Linked DNA regions of Alligator mississippiensis. The protein of the gene in region 1 interacts with the protein of each later gene in a biochemical or structural test. Links are inferred from orthologs where the notes say so. Each region holds a gene or a part of one and is shown in the gene's direction. Other genes may lie near its edges.

Region 1 (10,983 bases):
AGTTTAAGCCCCTTGCTGCTTGTCCTGACCGCTGTGAACACAGAGAACAATTTCATAGATTCATAGATGTTAGGGTCGGAAGGGACCTCAATAGATCATCGAGTCCGACCCCCTGCATAAGCAGGAAAGAGTGCTGGGTCTAGATGACCCCAGCTAGATGCCTATCCAACCTCCTCTTGAAGACCCCCAGGGTAGGGGAGAGCACCACCTCCCTTGGGAGCCCGTTCCAGACCTTGGCCACTCGAACTGGGAAGAAGTTCTTCCTAATGTCCAATCTAAATCTGCTCTCTGCTAGCTTGTGGCCATTGTTTCTTGTAACCCCCGGGGGTGCCTTGGTGAATAAATCCTCACCAATTCCCTTCTGTGCCCCCGTGATGAACTTATAGGCAGCCACAAGGTCGCCTCTCAACCTTCTCTTGCGGAGGCTGAAGAGGTCCAGTTTCTCTAGTCTCTCCTCGAAGGGCTTGGTCTGCAGGCCCTTAACCATATGAATGGCCCTTCTCTGGACCCTCTCCAGGTTATCCATATCGCTCTTGAAGTGCGGCGCCCAGAATTGCACGCAGTACTCCAACTGCGGTCTGACCAGCGCCCAATAGAGGGGAAGTATCACCTCCTTGGACCTATTCGTCATGCATCTGCTGATGCACGATAAAGTGCCATTGGCTTTTCTGATGGCTTCGTCACACTGCCGACTCATGTTCATCTTGGAGTCCACTAGGACTCCAACATCCCTTTCCACTTCCGTGCCACCCAGCAGGTCATTCCCTACAGATTTATCCCAGTCCTTCCTACAGAAACCTTTTTTGTATTTTAAGATGTGCAAAGAAGAGCCGGAGTGGCTTGAGAGGGTTTTATACTGTGTTAAGAGCACAGGAAGCCAGGGGCCAAACTAAAACAAAAAAGATAATAAAATCTGTCCAAGCTTCACCCACTTGAGACACCAACATGTGACTGTTCGCAGTAGGTTGTGCATGCTTTCTGCACCTGAGATTTTCAGTGGGGTTCAAACTTTTATTAGCGCTAAAATTTAAAGTGCACAAAATTAATGCATCATATGTTAACTAGATTAAGACAGGCTAACTGCTAGATCTCAAAGTAACTGTAGATCAGGAATCATCTTTGTGTGGGGTATTTCTTGCAATGTCCAGCAAAGATCTGTTCTTGCCCCTGAGCAATACTGTATCAGTGATGCAGAGCAATGGTGCTCAACCCTTTGGTCCTGTGGGCCAGGTGAGTGGTGCTGATCCGGTAGGCAAGATTGCTCCATGGGCCAGATTCAGTGTGGTGTCAGCATGCAGAGTTGGTCTGTGGGCTCTAGAAGCTGCAGCAATTAATGCTGAAACAGCTCTTCCGACAGAGAGGAAACAATGCGAGTGGCAAGTCAGCCACTGCTCACAAAAACTGGACAGCTTTTAAGGGGACATTGTAGTTGTAGACATTGAAAATGACACGTACCCAAGCAGCGATGTGGAAAATGAAGAGAATCCAAGGGTCAGAAGAAGAGTTGGACGTGGTTAGAGCAGCAGGCAAATCTGATGGTCCTTGTAGCAGTGTTTTTGATAACTGGAGATGGGAGTACCCAAGTTTTCAGAGCAAGCAATGCCAGGGTCCCCTGTATTAATGCAGACTCACCACCAGTGCTGAACCTATTCGATAGAAATGCTGAAATGAATTAATTGCAGCATGTGTAACAAGTAACTTCTGGTGATCAATCTGTGCATGCAGATACCAAGTGTGTTACCATGGTGACAAACACTATACAATTAAAAACAGTATTTTTTCTAAGAACTCTGAATATATCATTACCTGTGGTAGTTTTCATAGAAATCTAGCAACGATGTTGATGAGAGTGGTCCTTTGGGGTAACTGGCTGATATTCCTTATCATCCTTCCCCACTGCTTTACCATTGATCGTTGAAGCAGTGGCAGGAACTAAGTGTTGGCTTGGAGAAGATCTCTCCTTGCATTCCATGGAGTTGCTGGGCACAGGGTTGTTGGAACAAAATAGCCCCGAGTTTCTCATAGATTGCATTAAAGAATAGCAGCAAGAGCAGCTGAAGGCAGAGTAGAAGGAAATGGACTTGAAAGGGAGTGAACGACCTTGACACCCAAAAGTATTGTTAGTAGCCTGTACTCAGCTCAGCACCTCTCCTGCACCTACGTGTATTCCTCTCCAGTGCCAGATGGGCATCGCTGTCTCAGAAAGGTTCTGCTATGTGCCCAAAGGACCTGTGCAGTTCACAAGTCAAGCCCAGCAAGCTAGGGCATCTAGAGCAGAAGCCTGATGGGGAGTGACCTCAGGAATTACATTTTGAGTGGGCGTATGTGGCTGTGATTCTTGAATGCGGGGGGAGTGTCTTTTGCACAAATTGTCCTTCCAAACAGTCTTGGATGGCACGCTAAGTACCTTACAGACATGGGGGCAAATTCTTTAAGGCACAGATTAACTGGATTGACAGTGCATTTTACGTACATTATGCTACTTGAGGAAAATTCAGCAGTGGGGCTGGAGGAGTTAATTTGGCTTGGATCTCATTTCCAGCTTGGCCTTTACAATCAAAATGCCTTTTCTTCCTCAAATGTAGCTGTTTTCCAGAGACTCACTTTGAAAGAGTGTCCCTGAAACAGATACTGGATAGTAAAATCCCAAGAGGCCGCAGCAGAAGTGTATTTCAATTGACAAAAAGCTGGATGAAGTGGAATGAAAATGGCCTACTGAATTCTCCAGGGGTTTTGGTGAGAGCTCTGGTTGCTTCTGGATGTTAATGAGCTTGTAGCGGCAGCCACAGCTCAGACCACTGATAGAGACCCAGCTCGCTGTGCCTAGCGCATGGCTGACGGTGCCAGGGCGCGCACGGTAACTGGGGAGCCTGCTGCACTTCCAAGACTCGCCCAGTCTTCTCTGCTGCCATGTAACTGGCACGGGAGCTGCCCCAGGATAGTTCCTTAATTAGGGATTGTTTCCCAGTTGGAAAAAGAAAGGGATGCAATTGAGCAGGATGCTGCGTTGGGACAGAACAGCAACAGAGACCCTGCCTACTTGCCAGATCTTTGCAAATTGTTTCAAAAACAGGGAAGGGAGGAGTCATTTCCATTTTCAACAGTCTTTTCCAACTAATTACGTGTATTCATTTCTATTCCAGCAGTGCCAAAAGACCCTTATCAAAGATCAGGGCCTCATTATACTTGGCACTATCCAAATGAATAATAAAACATTCCCTCCTCTGGGAAAGGTTTCAGTTTTCCCAGTAGATTGCCAGACATTGGGAAAGGTAGTGAAATGATATAAAGTCAGCGCTCCTCTCGTCTCATACCATGCAGCTCGAAGGATGAGTTGGTAAGCAAATCGTGCGATTGGATATTTTATCGAACAAAGACATCTCCCTCTGGACAGACGGGGCACAGGAGTTTGGACTCGCTGGAAGCCCACCCAGGATGCCTTTTGGGACAGGAGCAGGCTAGGAAAGTGCACGGCTGATCCTGACAGGAGAAGAGCTACATACTAAGGGCAAAACTTGGGCTATGGTTGTGTTTGCTCTGGTTAAAATGAGAGCTGTTTCAAAACCCAGAGTTGGCAGCATAGCAAACTGAGGTGGCATTTGGACAATGATGGTACTAATGGCCCTAGCTACCTGAGCACCAGACTTGAGACACCCGATGCCTGGTTTTTGAAAGGGTTACTCAGGACGCAGCTGACACCCTTGGGAGCTGTAGAAGGAGCACGGCTTTGAGAATCAAAGGTCCCAAGTTAGAATCCTGCTCCACCACTGACTCACTGTGTAGCCTGGGGCAAATCCCTGCATCTTCCTTTCCACCTTCCTCATCTGTCAGGTGGGGATTACAGTATCCCTAGTTTCCCAGAGGTGTGGTTGCAAGGATCGGTGTCTGTACCTTGCTTTGAATGCACAAAAACGCTAATAAGTGCTCCGACCATCAAATCTCAGGTACCCCACATTGGGGGTTTTCACTGAGGCACAGGAAATTCGTGCAGGGTTTAGATGGGAGGCAATCCTCTATCCTCTCCCAGATTTGGGAGGCAGTCCCCTCAGTGCCTACGAAGGAAAAGAAGTCCTGTCTCGTTCACTGAATGGCATTCGTCCTGCAACTGGAATCACGTAGGTGTTCTGTGCAGAGTTTGATCGTATAACTAGCTGCATCATATGCACAAAGGGGAAGATATAAAATCGTTGAAGCAACTTTGTATCTAGTAATGAGTTTGCAACCAAAAAAACCATTGTTTAAAATGTTGGGTTTTGTATTCTAGGTACGTAATTGCACTGGGAAATTGGGCAAGGTCAGAGAGGAAGAACCTGTGATGCTTGTACACTGCTACAAGAAGCTTCAACAATGAACTGTTGGACTAGAACTTCAGTTGTGACGTGGCGGTGATCCTGGGATGGTGAGGTATTTCCATGGCAGCCTTCCCCCATTGACACTGGTGCACAGGACATGCATTCATTTCTTTAATTTTTCTCTCATTTGCTGCTGCCTCCATTTGCCTTATGGTGCTGAGATTTACTGCTCTGCCTTCCTTGGTAAGGGCTGTTCTGAAAGTTTCCCAGGGAAGCCCTCCTTACTCCCATCAGTTATTTCACGTGGGAATCTTTGTGCTGGTATCCGGAAACAACATGCCTCAGATGTCTAGTGCTTCCCTCTGATTCTGGCGGAGGCGAGCTGCTGGCTGGGGATTTCTTGGACCTCTTGAGTGGCGAGGAAGAGTGCCCGTGCAGTGCCCACAATCTTTCACAGGTTCTCGTTTTTGAGGACGTTCTGTTTCCTGTATAATGTGGTAAATCCCCAGCTCTTGCAGCCCTGCTGTAGCATAGATTATATTGGAGTTGTAAAGACTACTCTCCACTGTGGTTCCAGTGCTGCGTATCTTTGCTTTGCAGGTGTTGTTGAGCTGAATAAATGTGGATGTTATTCCCGTCTCTGATGCCACTGAGCTCTCTCCTGGTAACATGGTGCTGCCCAGGTAGATGGCCTGGTTTGTTTTCTACAATGTTTTTGCCTTCTGGTGCGATACTGCAGTTTCACAGGGCACTGGCGAGACCTCGGAAAGACTGCATGCGATTCCAGTTAGTTGAAAGAGGAATTCAGACAGGAACAGGTATAGACGAGGGTTACTGGGATGCTCTGGGGAATTGAGAGCCTAACGGTTGGGTTTGTTTAATCTAGCGAAACAAAGACAGATGCAGTGTGATGTGACTGTAATTTGTAAATACAGGAAGGAGGTAAACATCATGGCTGGGAAAGAAAACAGTCTAAAATAAAAGACAACGCTGGCACAAGAATGAATGGAGATTAACGTAGCTGTGAATCATGTAGGCTTGAAATTAGAAGGCTCATAACTATCAGAGGAGTGAGGTTTTGGAAGAGCCTCCCAATAGGAGAAGTGGGGGCAAGAAACGGGACTCGTTTTACGATGGAGCATCAGTGTGTGGATGCGACCACGCGGCGTGGTTCCCTGCAGCAGCAGGACACTGCTAGGCTCAGCGACCCAGGAGCTGTCGCCCGGTCCCACGTTCCTGTGTCCACGTGCGCACGCCACGGTAGTGTCTCCTGCTTCCACCGGGAGATTTAGAAACAACAACCATTGCTGGAAGTATTCAACTGAAATGAGTTAATAAAAAAGTGGGGGTTTTTGGCAGGGGGTGGGCAAACCTAAGATTTGGACCAAATCTGAACCAACTAATGCTTTTTCAAGAAACCTGTTCAGTTTCTTTCAGCCCTAGTTCTCTACGATCTACGCCGGGGCCCACAGCGTTTTTGGGCAGCGCCAGAAGCCCCCGCACGACCCGGACTGGTAAGGTGTCGGGGTGCTGGGATGCATGGCAGGGGACCCGAGGGGCCTGCGCCCGGGCGTGGCAGTGCGGCCCCAGCCCCTTCCCCAGCGTGTGCCCCGAGGCGGGCACGCCGGCGCTGGCACGAGTGTGGGGCTGCCTGCCCCGTTGATGACCCGCTCGCTCACCCCTCTTCCGCGAAACGTGGCACAGATCTGTGCTGCAAGAACAGGTGCTGGTACCGCCCGGCCACCGCCGAGTCACACCTTGCCTGGGCGGTGTCCCCGTGCCGTGGGTGCGCGGACAGGGCGTGTCACGGCGCGGGCTGCCACCGGGTCTCGTACAGCCCCCGCCCGCCACGCTGTTGGGCCTGTAACAAAGTCGCCCCCGCACGAGGAGGCGGCTGCAGCTGTGCGGCCCGCGGGGTGGCTGCCCTGGCGCGCGGGGGCCTTGCTGGACCCCCCCCCCGCCCGTGCACGGGGGCAGCGGCGTGCTTGTGTCCGCTCCCCCCCGGCCCGGGGCTGCCCGCCCTCGCCGCCCAGCGCCCCGCCCCGGCCCGGCGCAGCAGGCAGCGGAGCGGAGCGGAGCGGGGCGGGATCCGGGGCGCGGGCGCGGGCGGCTCCTCCCCGCCGCCACGCCCGGGCAGAGCAGGAACAGGAACCGCCGCTCCCGCCCGCCCGCCCGCCCGCGCAGCCCAGCGCAGCGCAGCGCAGCCCCGCGCCCAGCGCACCCGGCCGCCATGTCGGTGTCGGACGAAGCGGACGGCCCCGGGGTGGCCCGGCCACACTATGGCTGTGAGTACCGGCTCCGCTCCGCCCGCCCCGCCCCGCACCGCGCCCGGCAGGCAGGCAGGCAGGCAGGGAGGGTGGACGGACGGGCGGGCGGGGGGCGCGGTGACCCGCCCGCGCGTGGCGTGGGGAGCGGCCGCAGCGCGCGGTGGCGGAGGAGACGCCCGCAGCCCCCGCCCCGCCCCGCCCCGCACGGAGGGCCCTGGCACCCGTCCCTTCCCGGAGCGGGCGCGGTGCTGAGCCCCGGGCCGCCAGCACGAAGCGCGCTGCAGCGGGGGCGCGGGGCGCCGGGCAGGTGTCTCGCGGCCCGGCCCGGCCCGGCCGTGTCGCGTGGGCAGCTTCCCCCCGTGGCGCGGGGGCTGCTCGTGCGTTGGGTGGCAGCGCCGAGCAGCCTGTGCCGGGCGTGTGGGGTGGCCGTGCGGCCCCGGGTGCTCGGCCTTGGCTTCCCCCAGGCCTTGGGGCCGGCTTCCCTCCTCGCCTGCCAGGCCGTCACCCACGTGCGAGCCCGGGAAGGGAGGCTGCCTGGGGATCCCCCTTCAGCAGCTACCTCTCCCTGCTCATCCAGCACTGGAGGGCTGGGTTCCTGGCCTCCTCACCTCCCAGCTGCACCCAGGCCTGGCACATGTTGCCAGCGATGACTCAGTTCAGGCCCTGCTCCGGGCTCTGTAGCCCTGCCTCTGCCCTCTCTGGGACTGGCTCTCGCCAGCCCCAGCTCTCGTTCTTCCTCGGCCCTGTTCCTGGGCTCTGGCCCTCCACCACCCCCGGTCCCAGGCCCAAACCACCAGTGTTTTCCAGGCAGGTCCACAATACTCTACTTGCCTGCCCTACTCCCAGGCTCAAGCGTATCCCTGGTGCGAGTCAGGGGCTCCTCTGCTGCCCTCCCGGGTGGGAGCTCTTCCTCCCATACCTGCCCCCGCTCGGGCCCGGGCTTATACGCTCTCACCTGGCCCCTTCCAGTCCCTTGAATGCCACCTGGGCTCTTCCTAGAGCCTTTCTCCTGAAGTAACAGGAGCGCAAAGGTGCCTGTTACGACGTGCAGATGCTGCACAGACCCTCAGGGTTAGGATCTGAACATGGTGGAGTTTCCAGTTTCTCCTGTGTGCGTCCCTGTCCCATGTGAACAGCCCAGCATTGTGCGGTGGAGATGGGCTGCAGTCCGTACGCACGTCTTCTCCGGCGTGAGGTGCCCGGTTCTCTCTTCGTGCCTCCTACTCGCCTGCGTCAGACGCCCGGCTGCCCTTCCATATGTCTCCTCTTGCTTCATTTGATACAAGAACATTTTGGTTGTTGCAAGACGATTCCTTTTTTCTGCACAAAGAGACTGTCTCCTTTCTGAATCGATACATAATCTGTTCCCGTTTGTAGTCCTAATGTAATTTTTAACATTGAAAAGCTGATAAACTGTAGCGTTAATGTTTTAACTTTACCTCTGCCCCTTCTGTATCTGCATGGTGAAGGACGTGACTGCGCACCCTTCTTTGCACAGGCTCCGGGTCTCATTCTCAGTACCGGTTAGAAGGGGGATGAGGCTTGGCTTCCAAGAGAATGAAAAAGTGCTCCTGTGGGGTTATGGCTGCTTTGAGACCTAAATTGTCACAATTGCATAGAAGCAAATGGATCTTACTTTGAATATGCCTGTGTGTAAATGGGTAAATAGAAAATGAGGGCTGGAAGGGACATCTGGTCCAGCCCCCTGTTCAAAGTAGGACCAGCTCCAGCTGTTAGATTTGGACGCTATGTATATTGAGTAAGGTGAGGGGTCTCTGTTTAGTAGTAGTGGAAACAGGAGTACAGGTGCTAATTGCATGCTAAATGAGTCTAGGATAGTTAGGAAATAATAGTATGTGATTATGTATTTTAAACACTGTATCGTTATGCAGATGTGAAATGAGAGACTGTGTTGCACAAGCCCTGTCTCCATTAATGGCAGCCTGCAGCTTAATTATGTTAAAAACCCCAGATTAGACCCTGCTAAATGCAGTTGAAGTCTTTTTTGGGATTTAGCTGTGAAAATCACTAAGCCACTGTGAAGGGCAGTTTTAGCCCTTTCCCCCAAAGGATTTATAGATTGACCAGATTTGGGTGGGTTTTCATAGGACAGCAAAAGGCACTTTTTTGATGTAAAGGCCACCCATGTACCAAATGCCAAGTTCCTGTTCAAAAGTATGGCAGTGCTAGAGCTTCTTAAAACTAATGTCATCAGGTTATTTTAAAATGGGCAAAATATATTTTTCTTTCCACTTATTCTTGGAAATGGCTGAACCTCCTTGTCTGAAAATTTTCAGAATGATTCAGCCTGAGGTTAGCGACCAGTATGCAGAATTTCAGCCTAAATAGCCAAAGTTTGAAGTTGTGCCCCATAAAATAGGAAGCATCAGACAGTGTTATAACAGCAGTTGTGCTGTCAGCTCACTTTGGGTCAGAAGGAGCGTGCAGATATCCATGTTACCAGATTATGTAGTTGTCATCTTCCCCCTTCATCTCAAACTTCCCCAAAAATTCACGGTCGAGCCAAGATTAGACACTGACAGTGTTCATTTGAAATCCTGTCTAGCACTACTCCAGCTATGCAGGTGGTCCAGTCAGAGACATTGCTGTTAGAAATCCTTGCTTCTCCCAGTATGAATCACAAAACCGTGGGAAAGCAGGGCTGGAAGGATGCTCCAGAGGTCGTCTAATCCAGTCACCTGCATGAGGCAAATCCATTAGCTAACCTCTCAGCAAAACTGCGTGGTCAGCCGTGACACAGTCACACAACGACACCTGAACCTGCCACAGGTAAAGCAGGGGGGCCATGGCGGCCATCGTCCCACGGTTGTTAAAAAACACTCGAGGTCCAAAGAAGAGAGCCAGGCCCCACTCCCTTTAGAGGAAGGTGTATGGACCCCCCCCAGTCTGTACGAATCTGACCGCAAGGTAAACCCCCCAGCGTAGTGTTGGTCTGGCCTTAGCCAGGAGCCTCTGGGTGCAAGTCCCAGCAGCAGCATAGGCACACCCCAGTAAAATACTTCTGAGGAAAGCAAAAAACCAAACAAACCCCTAAAACACACAGCAGTAGGGGGAGAAAAATTTCCTCCCAGCCCCATCTGGGACCCAGCAAAGCCCACAAGCCTGGGAAATACCCACAGTAGAGCATGGCAGTAGCTGCGTCTAGATCCTCCCTGACCAATGCTTATCCACTGCATGAGATGCTCCGGGCGCTTTAATTACAGGTACCGTATCCCAAAACTGCATTCGCCTTTTGTGCAACTGCATCATGCTGCAGACTCATGCCGAGTCTGTGATCTACCAAGACTTCCATATCCCAGGGGTAGTTGAAGGGAGGATGCACATGTTTGCGTAGGCTGCAGGATTGCAGACAAGGACCTGGGGGTTGAAGTGGACTGTAAGCTGAACATGAGCTAATAGTAAGCTCTTGCTGCAAAAAAAAATGCCAGTGACACCCGGGGTTGTATTGAGAGGAGTGTCACTTGCAGATCGCAGGTGTGGTCTCTCCTGGAGTACTGGGGCCAGTAGTGAGACCCGCACTTCAGGACAGACATGGACAGATTAGAAAGAGCCCACTGGAGAGCGACCAAAACGATGAAGCCTGGAAAACATGACTCCTGTTTGGAGAAGAGAAGACGGGGGATTTGATAGCAGTCTTCAAATACCTGAAGGATAGTTAAAGAGAGGATGAAGAGCAGAGACTTCTTTGTGGCCATAGGGAGCAACGGCCTCAAACGCAGCAGGGGAAATTGAAGTTGGAGACTAGGAGGGATTTTCTGAGAGTGGTCAAGCACTGGGACAGGCTGCATAGAGAAGTTGTGGGGTCACCGTTGTTGGACATTTTCAGGAGCAAGTTATCTACTCGTGTAGGATGCTTCAGTCAGGGATGTTCCTGCCTTTGGGAGGCGGCTGGGCTAGATGTGACTTCCTGGGGGCTCTGCCAGCTTGACTTCTCTGTGATTCTAAGATGTTGTAAGAGAAATGTTAGAGAGGGAAGGGGAGAGCAAGCAGACGGAGAGTCACAAAAGCTAAGGGAAGACAAGAGGTCAAAAAGTGGGCCGCAGTTGACTGTGATGAAGGCAGTTGACAGGCCGAGGAGGATGCGATGGAAGGCTGGCTCTGAGCTTTCCCAGGACAGAACGATTAGAGACTGTAGCGAGAGCGGTCTCCATGCAGACTCCAAGCCGAACTGGAGAGAGCCCAGGGAAGAGCTGAAGGAGAGGAGCTCCAGGCGGTAATTGTAGGCAGCGCGGGCTGGGAGCGCGTTGTCAGGGCTCAAACACCGATGAAGGGAATTGTGATGCAGTCTCCTAACGGAGGACTGGGCTGGACTTGCTAATCTAGGAGGTCCTTTCCAATCCTTCATTTCAGAAGCAAGGAGATAGGTGGGGGGATGCCCGGGTTTTACGAGGGTTTAAGTTTAA
Region 2 (10,075 bases), on another chromosome or scaffold:
GCATCAGAGGTTTGTACAATAACAAAAAAGATGGAAGCACCCACATTTTCCCCTTGGTCTAACACTGGAGCATTTAGGATAGGGAACTCCTGAAAGCTTCAAAAGATGCGTGTCCTACAATGCATGAATGAGGCCACATGCTCCCTCCTCAACTGTTATTTTCACCTCATTTTTCTTGGAGAGTATGCAACTTTAATTAAGTACACTTTGTTCTGGACAATGCTTGGTGTTGGATTCCAGTCAGCAGGCTAGCTATTGCCCTGCCTCAAATTTTCTGGGAAAGATTACAAAGAAGGTAACGGCAAGCTGCCATCAATTGTATCTCTGTTTCATCAACATCCTGGATTCCTCCCAGTCAGGATTCAGAATTGAATATGACATATAAACAGTGCTAGTTGCCCTGGAGGATGGGTAAATCAAGTTACATATTTTAGCTCTATTTTATTGTATGAACTAATGATGTATGCTTTTAAATATATTTTAAGAGGTTTATCTGTACTTATTTTATTGCGGTAGATAATTTGGGCCTGCATTTTTATACATGTCCAGATCAAATGCAAATGCTTCAATGCTTGGGACAATTATTGTTCCTCTTAAAATGACTGAATTTCACTGTGTGAACAAGATGATCAGGATTTGGCAAGAGAGACCATATTTTCCAAGGTATTTTGGTATCTAAAAACAAAGATAAGGTTCTGGTAGATTTGCAGAAACACCTTACAAATCTGGGGCTGTGGATGACTAGCATAGTAGAAACCATATTTTCATATCTACTAGACAGAAGAGGATGTAAATGTTCTGTACCTATTAACAAGCTAGTAGGCATAGTCCAGTAGCTTTAGCCTTGAATTAACCATTTGGATAAACTGAAAATGTGCCGTAGGACTTGTTTTGATTTTTTTTTTCGTTAAGGACGCTCTTTTCTCTGAAACAGAAATGGCAACAACTCAAACCCACTCTAATTTGATTAGACAGATTTTGCACACCACTGGACACTAGTTTCTTCTGAGCATAACATCGATGCAAACTGATTTATCTGGGAAAGGGTAGTCATGTCTTCAAATTTCTACATTGGCTTAGACTGTCAACTAACTCTCTCATTTTCTACTGACAAGGTACAACATTTTCTCTTAAAAAGCATGTGTTACTTTGATCAACAAAATCTTCTGTTGGGTAACCTGAAAGATGAGTGTCTTTCCCTTCAATGATTTAACCACATTAGTTGTCTGATCAGAATTTAGGCAAAATTTAGAATTCCAACCCCCTGTCCCCCCGCAAAATGCTACATAGCTGGAAACTCCATAGGAAGTGACTTTGGGGGTTTTTGATGGTTTTTTTTTTTTTTGGCGGGGGGTGTTGATTGTATTTACAAATCTGAGTTACTTGCCAAAATACAAATTACACTAACTATACTACTTTCTAAGAATAAATCAACTAGTGGTCTAGGTTAGTGGGTCTCAAACTTTTAGATTCGAGGCACCCCTTCAACCTTTTATGAATTGAGTGGCACCTAGTTTCAAAAACTAATTAATTGCAGCACTTGCATCCCTGCAAAGGGGCTGAACAGTAGAGCGGGGGAGCAGTTAGGCAGGGAGAGCCTGAGCCTGCCCTTATCTGCTTATCTCCTGATACCTCCTGTGGCACTCCTCAAAGGATCTCAAGGCACCCAAGGGTACCACAGAAGAACCCTGGCTGAGAATAACTAGTCTAGGTGGTTTAAGGATTTGGTAATAGAAAAGAGTCCTTTACCTCTAGGTCACGGGTTTTGCATGTTAATAATGAACAGAAGTAATAACAAAAAGTAGTTTAATAGCCTCCTCAAACTGTGTTGGGGTATCAAGGACCAGAATTACACATCACCAAAAAGCAGTTAGCTTTGACATTGATAGATCTTCTTTATAGATTTAAGCTGAGACCAAAAATTACACTATGTAAAATGGAATTAAATGTAAATTAAATTCCTCACTAAATATGGACCTTCCTAGACAACAAGGAGGTGCAGTATGAATAGTAGATTTCTGCCTCTCTCCCTGCCCAATCATCACAGAGCATTCAATTCTCTTCTAGTTAAAAAGAAAAACAAGCCAACAAAAATCCTTGTCCACATCATATGTATTGGGTGGTAAATTTTGGCTCTGTTCCTCACTTTGGTTCTCATTTGGCAGCATGAAGGCTCAGACTTGCAGCCAGTAAGGTGCTACACGGTGTAAATAATAATAACATAGCATGACTAACATGCTCTGTGAGAATGCAAACCTCCTGATCAATTTGAATGCACAGGAACAAAGGATGTGGGATTATCAGAGGCACAGGAAAATGTATTTCACCAAATTACAGATTGCTATAATTCCTGCTAGATTGATATCCTCACTGTAAACTGTTTGTGAGAAAATACCCTATAAATTTTTATGACTGTTTTGCACTTTTGAGCCAAAAGCTTCTCTGACACAAATTCCACTGCATACATGGAATTATTCCATGAATTAACTTGGCTCAGTCAGTTTTTCTCTAAAATCAGCTACCCCAGGAGTTTGACTAGATATGAATTTACTACTGCATTTCTTTTAATCTCCTTACAAGTACAGGGAAATTTCTCTCAACAGTCTATTCAGCTTACATTCAGTTCTTAATCTGTTTTTGTTTCCAGAGTCTGTGCACACATTTCTTTGCCAACACTTTGGATTCTTATCCCACATTGTCGATTACTGTCTTTTCAAATGTCTCGCTACAAAATAGGGTTGTTAGGGACTAAATCAGTAACTTGATGACAAGTAACTTAGTTTTGATTTTTGGTTCTTCTGTGCAGTGTTGTCTAGCTGGTGTAGGACTCCAGGGCAACTCTGACCCAGAATCATGGGATCCTATCCAGTCAGTGAGGATGCTATGATGCCCTATTAGGGAGGTGTTTTGTTAACAGAGGTAGTCTATCAGACTCATTAAAATACATTTAAATGTTAAATATGTACCTTCTGTATATCTTTTATGGCTGGCCAGGTAGTAGATAAATATTGTACGACACTTCAAAAGAACAGGGAATAAATTTGGCCAGACTCATTTCCAAAGTTCCTTCTCATAATAAAAAAGGTCCCACTGTTCCAAGCTGTAGGAGAGCTATTGCTGACTGCATACAGTAAGTGGCTGTTACAGCTGCTTAAACACTTATAACATTCCCAATGTCTAACTCAGTGCCAGGTGTTTTTACAAAGCAATAACTCAAATGTGAAAGGTGACTTCTAAAACCCAATCTATTATATAGATTTAATAGTGTTCAACGTTCAAAAATTACATTAATACAAAAAGCTGATGGCTAAGCACCCAAAAGTCAGAAGAAAATGACAAAGGTTATATGTTGACCCATTTTATGAACTTGTGTTTTCTTTTTAATTGACTGATTAAAAATATTCCAGATTATAATACCCTTTAAGTAGTATACTTTGAGTTTGGTTTGTTGTGCATTTTGCTTTTTTCATGTTACCCACTGAATATTTATCATGAGGATATCTTCAGCAAGGAAGCTACTAGATCCCTGATCGCAAGAAAACTTTGTTTAAAATATGCAAGTGAAGCATGTGCATAAATGTTAGGAAGAACAGGGTTGAAGAGCTGTCAAATGCACAAACTAAAAACAAGAAACAATTTTTGTATTGCTTTGCTGACTCCTTTCAGCTTGAGTAATCATAGGCTTTAATCATGATGATGATGACATATACAAAAATCTCTCAAAAATGCGATTTTTTTTTCAGGTTGGGTATATCCCTTAAACTGTTCTTCCATGCATAGCTATGAAGATATAATGTCTTAGCTAACCCAATAATGTTGTTTTTCAAATTGTACATTCATATACTTCATAACTATTGTAGATAGGTGCAGCTTCTTGCAATATGTTTCTGTTTTGGGTTTAAAAGCAGTTTTCATGATCATTATGTTTCTGGATGTAGTTCTTGATGGAGAAGTTCTTCTCCCTCTCAGATATGGCTTTTAATAACCGTCAGCACCTCTACACTATATATTTTTAAGTATAAATTGAAGAATCATATGTTACATAATTAAGGACAGTACTGTAAGGAGATATACTCAAGGGGCCAAAGACAAGGTTAGTCTAGGTAAGCTTAACGTTAGACTCTTTGGATATTTGATACTTAAACCCTTGTTCTGCAACAGCATCTACAACTGGACCTTCATACCCACGTGACTTGTATTAGCTTAAATTGCAGAATTGATGTACATTTCACCCATGAAAATACCTGCAGTCATGATTGTACATTCCCAGAAACTTCGAGCTAGCTCTTTTGCTCCCAAACATTCGATAGCTAATGTTAAGGTCAGCATTTTGCCCACTAATATTTCTGCAATTTCCCACTGATTTCCGGGCCTGATTATCTAAGTCAATGGTGTTCACATTCCTTTGGTATGTTTGAACATGAGGCGTTAAGTGCTTCAGACCATGCACCCAAATAGCAGTGGTTATTAAAAAAAAATCAAAAAAAAAATCGGCCTACATACTTCAAAGGAAAGCCCAGCCCTTCTCTCTAAAATAGGACAGAAGTCTTTTCCTTTTTATGTAATGTTTGGTATAAAGGTTTAAAAGCCTTTATTTAGCTGCTGCTTGCTTTGTGGTATACGATCTTTGTATACGATCTGAGACTCCTCAGGCACTAGCCTTGCTTTTAAACCGCCCTGTACTTTCTCTTGGGAAATGGGCTAGCTGCTGAAGTGAGCTCCAGCCCACGACAGCTTGTGCTATACATATCTTTAATTTAGTTTATCTGTAAGGTACAAATCTTCCCCAATGTTCCTGTAACAGCATTCGGCCTTCTCAGTTCTCTCTTTCAGGGACCCAGCCCCAGAAGAGTTCAAAATCCTGCCTCCATGTGATTACCTGATGCAGGGGTTTTCAACCTTTTTTCATAAGCGTACCCCCAGTGGCTCCCTTTTTAGTAAGTGTACTGCTGGGGAGGGATGGCGAGCGGCCAGACGCAGAGCGGGGAGGGGGATGGCAAGCAGCTGGTCACTGAGCGAGTTGGGGGCTGGTGGCAAGTGGCTGGATGCCAAGCAGGGGCATGGTGAGCAGCCGAGTGGTGGCAGCACAGTGTCCGTGTGGCCCTGCTCTTGACCTGTCCCTGCTCCTGTGAGGCAGCAGCATGGGGTGGCAGTTCTCCATCCCTGCCTCCCCCACCCCAGGTACTCCCCCAGACCTTTCAAAGTACCCCTGGCCTGTGGAGAGGGGTGAGCGGCAACCACCTGCAGGTGCCGCTGGTAGCGTTGGCAGTGCCTTTTTGCAAGGGATGCGCTGCCCCACTCAAGGGGTACACATGCACCCCCTACGCGCTGCCAATGACCCCATAGCAAAGGAACCTCAAGTCTGGACAAAGGTAGGAGGACAGCTAGGGGCTCCCTGAAGGACAGCTGTGCCTCTGTGGCCAAGTTGCAAGAGAAGATTCAGTTTGGAGGTGAAGGAAGACAGGCGCATGTGGGAATAAAGGAATAAACAGTCTTCAGAGGGAGAAAAGCGACCTATGTATGGGGAGGGGAGAAAGGCCAATGGTGAGTCTGGGCACTGGGCCCAAGCCTAACATGTCGGGAGGGCGGTAAGGCAGGAAAGGGCTGTAGTGGAGAGAGAGGAGGAAGGTGCGCGGAAAGGGAAGAGGATCAGTCAGTGAGGCTCCCTGGGGCAGCAGTGAGGGTCCGGGCCAGCCCTCCCGCGTAGGGCTAGCGAGACAGAGGGGAGCCCGTGCGCGGGGAGGGGCCTGGAACGCCGCGCGCCCCCCAGCCCCAGGCTGACGTGCGGCTGCGCCGTGACGTCAGGGTGTTCCCCGATGACGTTGCGCGGCTCATGCGCACTGGGCGCCACGGTCCTGCCGGGTGACGTCACGGGCGGGGAGTGACGTGCCGGTGGCGCGGGCCGCTAGGAGCAGGCTGGTTCGGGTGCCCCCTCCCCCTCCCGCTACGGGTCGCGGCTGGGGGCGGCCCGGCTCCCCTGTCCCCTCCCTCCCGCGCCCGGGCGCTCCGAGCCAAGATGGCGGCGCTGAGCAGCGGCAGCAGCGCCGAGGGGGCCTCGCTCTTCAACGGGGACATGGAGCCTGAGCCGTCGTCCGCCGGGCCCTGCTGCGCGGGGGGCAGCGCCGAGCCGCCTGTGCCCGAGGAGGTGAGGCCGGCCGAGGCCCCCAGCCCGCGTCTCTGAGGGGTCGCGCCCGGGCCTCCCACCGGGCAGCAGGTGGCCGTGCCCGGGGGGCCCGCGGTCCTGGGGCTGGGGCCGCCGGGAAGGGCGCGGCGGGGAAGTTGGGGTTGGGCATTAGGAGGAACTTTCTGTGAAGGAGGGGGGCAGAACACAGGTACGGGGGCTCGGGGGGGTGTATCTCCAGGCTTGGGGGGTTTTAAGTGTCAGAGCCTTGGGTGGGATGGTGAGCTTGGGGCTGATCTGGCTTTGAGCAGGGGTTGGGGTCAGTGAGGCCCCTTCCAGCCTCAGTTTCTACGTTTCCGTGGGAGTGCTCGGGTGGGGGCACACAAGACCTTGGTCCCCGTGTCTTGCTGCCCCCAGACAAGCTGCTTGGGTGAGCAGGCCTCTTGTGGGCTGAGGGAGCAGAGGGAGTATCCGAAATCCTGGATTGAAGCGTCTGAGGTGGAGGATGCTCACCTGGAGTATCTGGGGGCATCTGCACCCCAAGACCTCTGGGCTTGGGCCTGCACATAGGATGCCTGCCTGCCAATTGTTTTGGGAGTATCTGAAGTCCCAGGGGGATAGGTCTGGGATGGCGCGTGTCGTGTCGCTGGTTGTAGCGCCGGACATGGGGTTCGGACTGATGGAGCTCAGCCTGCTCAGTCGACAGTTTTTGGAACGATTGAGTTCTGCTTAAATTGATATGGTTTGGCTGATTTGACCTAGAACAGGAAACATGGTTAGAAAGAAGTGCACTGGGCTGGTGGGCAGGACACTTGCATTCTCTTTCCTGGTTCCTGCATCTTTCTTTTCATGGTTTCACAGCCTGGGAAGAAAGAAAGGAGATGCTATACACCTGGCTGGCAGGGTGATACTTAAATTGTTGCTGTCAGTAAAACATTGGGAGAAGCTGGGGTTGCAGGCAGCGTAGAAAGGCAGAGTGCTTGGGTCTAAATTTCCTACCGCTGCCACAGCAAGTGGCCTGGTGTCACATGCATGGTCTGTTGTACAGCTGGGTTTAGAGTCCATAAATCCTGATCCTAGTCTAGTGCTTTTAATCAGTTAAAAAAATAACAGTGGGGGTGTTTGGGGAAGTTAAGATATATCCAGGTGAAGCCTCTTATTCAGGTCTAAACTACTTGTTGCCTTCATAACCGGAGTTAAATATTGTTTAACTTGTGAACATTCACTTCCCACCTGTATTTAATTTGTCTTCCTTTTCCTATGTTCTCAGTAAGTACATGCCTTGGTAAAACGTCAAAAGTTTCTGTATGTGAGGAGCCTGGTTGCCGGAGTCTAGTGGGGACCCATGTATTTGGCAGATTAACTCCACACCCTCCCCATGTGTCACTTGGATCCCTTTCCCCTGCCCAATGTGCTGCTTAGCTTCCTGGTCCCTGCCTGTCCACCACAGTTCTGCCTGTCCCCTCCCTTATCTGCCACCTGCCACGCGCAGAGGCTGCCTGTGCCACTCCTGGAATGTGTGCTGCAGGTTGGCCACCCATGCCTAAATCACTGTAGTACAGTCTAATGACTTTACTTCTAGTCCTGAACTATTTAATACAGATTTACTTTGTTAGTCAGTTGCCATATTTCTTCCCGTAAAACACTTCAGTATTTATTTAGAATACCTTCTATCCAGAAATATCAGTATTTCACTGATATAGGTTATGTATCATACAGCCTTAGGTACTATGTTTTTACAGTATGCTGTACAGAGATGAGAACTGAGATATATAGAATGGGTCTCTGGCAGGGCTGGGGTTGCAACCTCAATCCCTTGTCTGTCAGTTTTTTTCTTCCAAGTCAAATCTCTTCATGCATCCTCTTATCACTTTTGTCTAACTCGTTTTAATAGCATTATTTTTTGTAGTAGACCATAGAGTAATTTCTGTAGTTGAAACTTTGCTAATGGCATGGTTAAAATTGAGACTTTATTCCATACAAGATAAGAGGTTATAAAGTATAGTTTGAGTACTGAATACCATAAAAGTTGTGAAAATAGTAAAGCTCTCATAAGTGACTCATAGCAGCTTTAATCTGTTTGTGTTTTTGAATAATATGAGGAGGAAAAATAGTAATCATAAAATATAGAGATAAATATTACAACTATTTGCTGGTAACTGCTCTTGGACCTCTTTGCTTTAGGTTAGAGAATGGCTAGCGTAGTAGAAACCAGATTTTCATATCTAATAGACTGAAGAGGATGTAAATATTCTTCTGTACCTAGGCTTTAAGAGAATAAGAGTTTTAAAAAGTAACTAAACAAACATTATAATTATGGCCAATGTTTCCTCATAATAAATGTACTTAATTTAGCTCAGGTTATGTCTTGGTTTTAAAAAATATTTGTTTTCCACTTGACCACATTCATCCAAAAGTTGTAATATTGTAATTTAACCAAGAACATATACTGTTTTTGTTTGTGCTTTGCACACATCCTTTACAGTGGCTTGGTGCACTATGGGATAGGAAACTATTCTCTTCCTTCTCAAACTGTCTGCTATGCAGAAGGATAGTTAGTAGCCTCGTGCTTCTGTTGAGCTCCCCATCAAATAATTTCACTACAAAAATCTTTTTCTCTTAAAGACGATGAAGGTTTCAATTGTAAGTTCTTGCGTAGAGCCCTATCAAAAAAGTACAACTTCATTTGCTAGTCTCTACATGTTGAATGGCTTCAGGAAAAAAGTGAAGGTCATCTCTTGTCCCTTTAAGGATCAAATCTGGACTTTCTGAAATGGTACAGAAAATCTAGCTTTTTTGTAAAGTCTTCTCCTTCTACAGTTTTATAATTTGCCAGCATCTTTTGCCTACCTGTCATATTATAGGTAGGGAAAAGAATTTGACTCTCATAAATTTGTAAAGTGAATCTTTCAGTTTTTTTTATTTTAGCATAGTAGGTAATCTGGAGCAAAAGCATAATACTTTATTATGAGACCATTGGTTAAAGTTGCAGTAATCTATTTCCCAAATTTTAAGACTTGGGATTTTGAGAACAAAATTATGCCTATGTTACTGTTAAGTCTGAAGACAACTTGAAGTTGTTGCTTTTGATTTTTGGTTCTGTAGCCATAATTGTTGGGATAAAAACTGCTTTCATAATGAAGTGTTGTGTATATAGTACTTTGATAAAGTAAAGTATTTTTATAAAACAAAGTATGTAGAAGATAAACTGTAGAGAGAATAGCTAATGGCTAGTGTCTCTCTAATCTGAACCATAGTGCAGGTTTAACTCTTGTTACAGAGCTATATACATACACTGAAAAATAGTTGTGTGCTTATGAAATATGCACTTCCTAGAGACAGGGAGCTGATGATCCTGGAGGCAAGTGCATTTAGGGGAGATTAGGTTAAAAAAAAAACAAGAGTTGTTGGCAATGGGAGGAAAAGTAGAAATGACTAAACTCTGGGGTAAGCTTTTGGACTATAGAATTTTTAATTTAGTTTGCTTCACTGCAGGATGGTTTCTTTGGGCAAGGGATCATTTGATATAGTGAAGTGTGTCAGGGGTTGCCTATGTGAGGTACTTGGAGTGCATGGCAGCTGGGATTAAAGGCTTCATACCTTTCATTGTGGCTTATTTGCATAATTATTTAAATAATTCAAATCGGATCCCCTGTGCTTAGGATCAAATTCTAAAGTGCATTGTGCTGTTTGAGAGAGAGACTTTTGACTTTTTAAAAACCTTTCTTAAAAAAAACCAAACCAAAACCAAAAAAAACCCAGAAGGTGAAAGTGAAAGAGCAGAAGTGTGTGCCTTTCCCTCCTTCACCCCCAGGGCTGAGTGTGAACCACTTGTCAGTAACAGAAATGCATGTGTCACCAGAGATTGAAACCCCCTCCCCTAGCTGTCTGTCTGTCTTCTACCTTGAATACTTCCCCTTGAGGGTCCAGTGCAACACAAACTACTTCACATTT

What was found.
Region 2: the proteins of IQGAP1 (region 1) and BRAF form a complex in vitro, tested with the Homo sapiens proteins (2 studies listed by BioGRID and IntAct). The link is inferred for Alligator mississippiensis from reciprocal best matches to the Homo sapiens genes IQGAP1 and BRAF.

What each region holds. Positions count from the first base shown.
Region 1 is NC_081834.1:412,335-423,317, reverse strand, and holds the start of IQGAP1 (ras GTPase-activating-like protein IQGAP1), read left to right. Parts: upstream 1-6,461; 5' UTR 6,462-6,522; coding exon 6,523-6,577; intron 6,578-10,983. UniProt on the Homo sapiens protein: Plays a crucial role in regulating the dynamics and assembly of the actin cytoskeleton.
Region 2 is NC_081827.1:109,985,817-109,995,891, reverse strand, and holds the start of BRAF (serine/threonine-protein kinase B-raf), read left to right. Parts: upstream 1-5,860; 5' UTR 5,861-6,016; coding exon 6,017-6,145; intron 6,146-10,075. UniProt on the Homo sapiens protein: Protein kinase involved in the transduction of mitogenic signals from the cell membrane to the nucleus. Phosphorylates MAP2K1, and thereby activates the MAP kinase signal transduction pathway. Phosphorylates PFKFB2.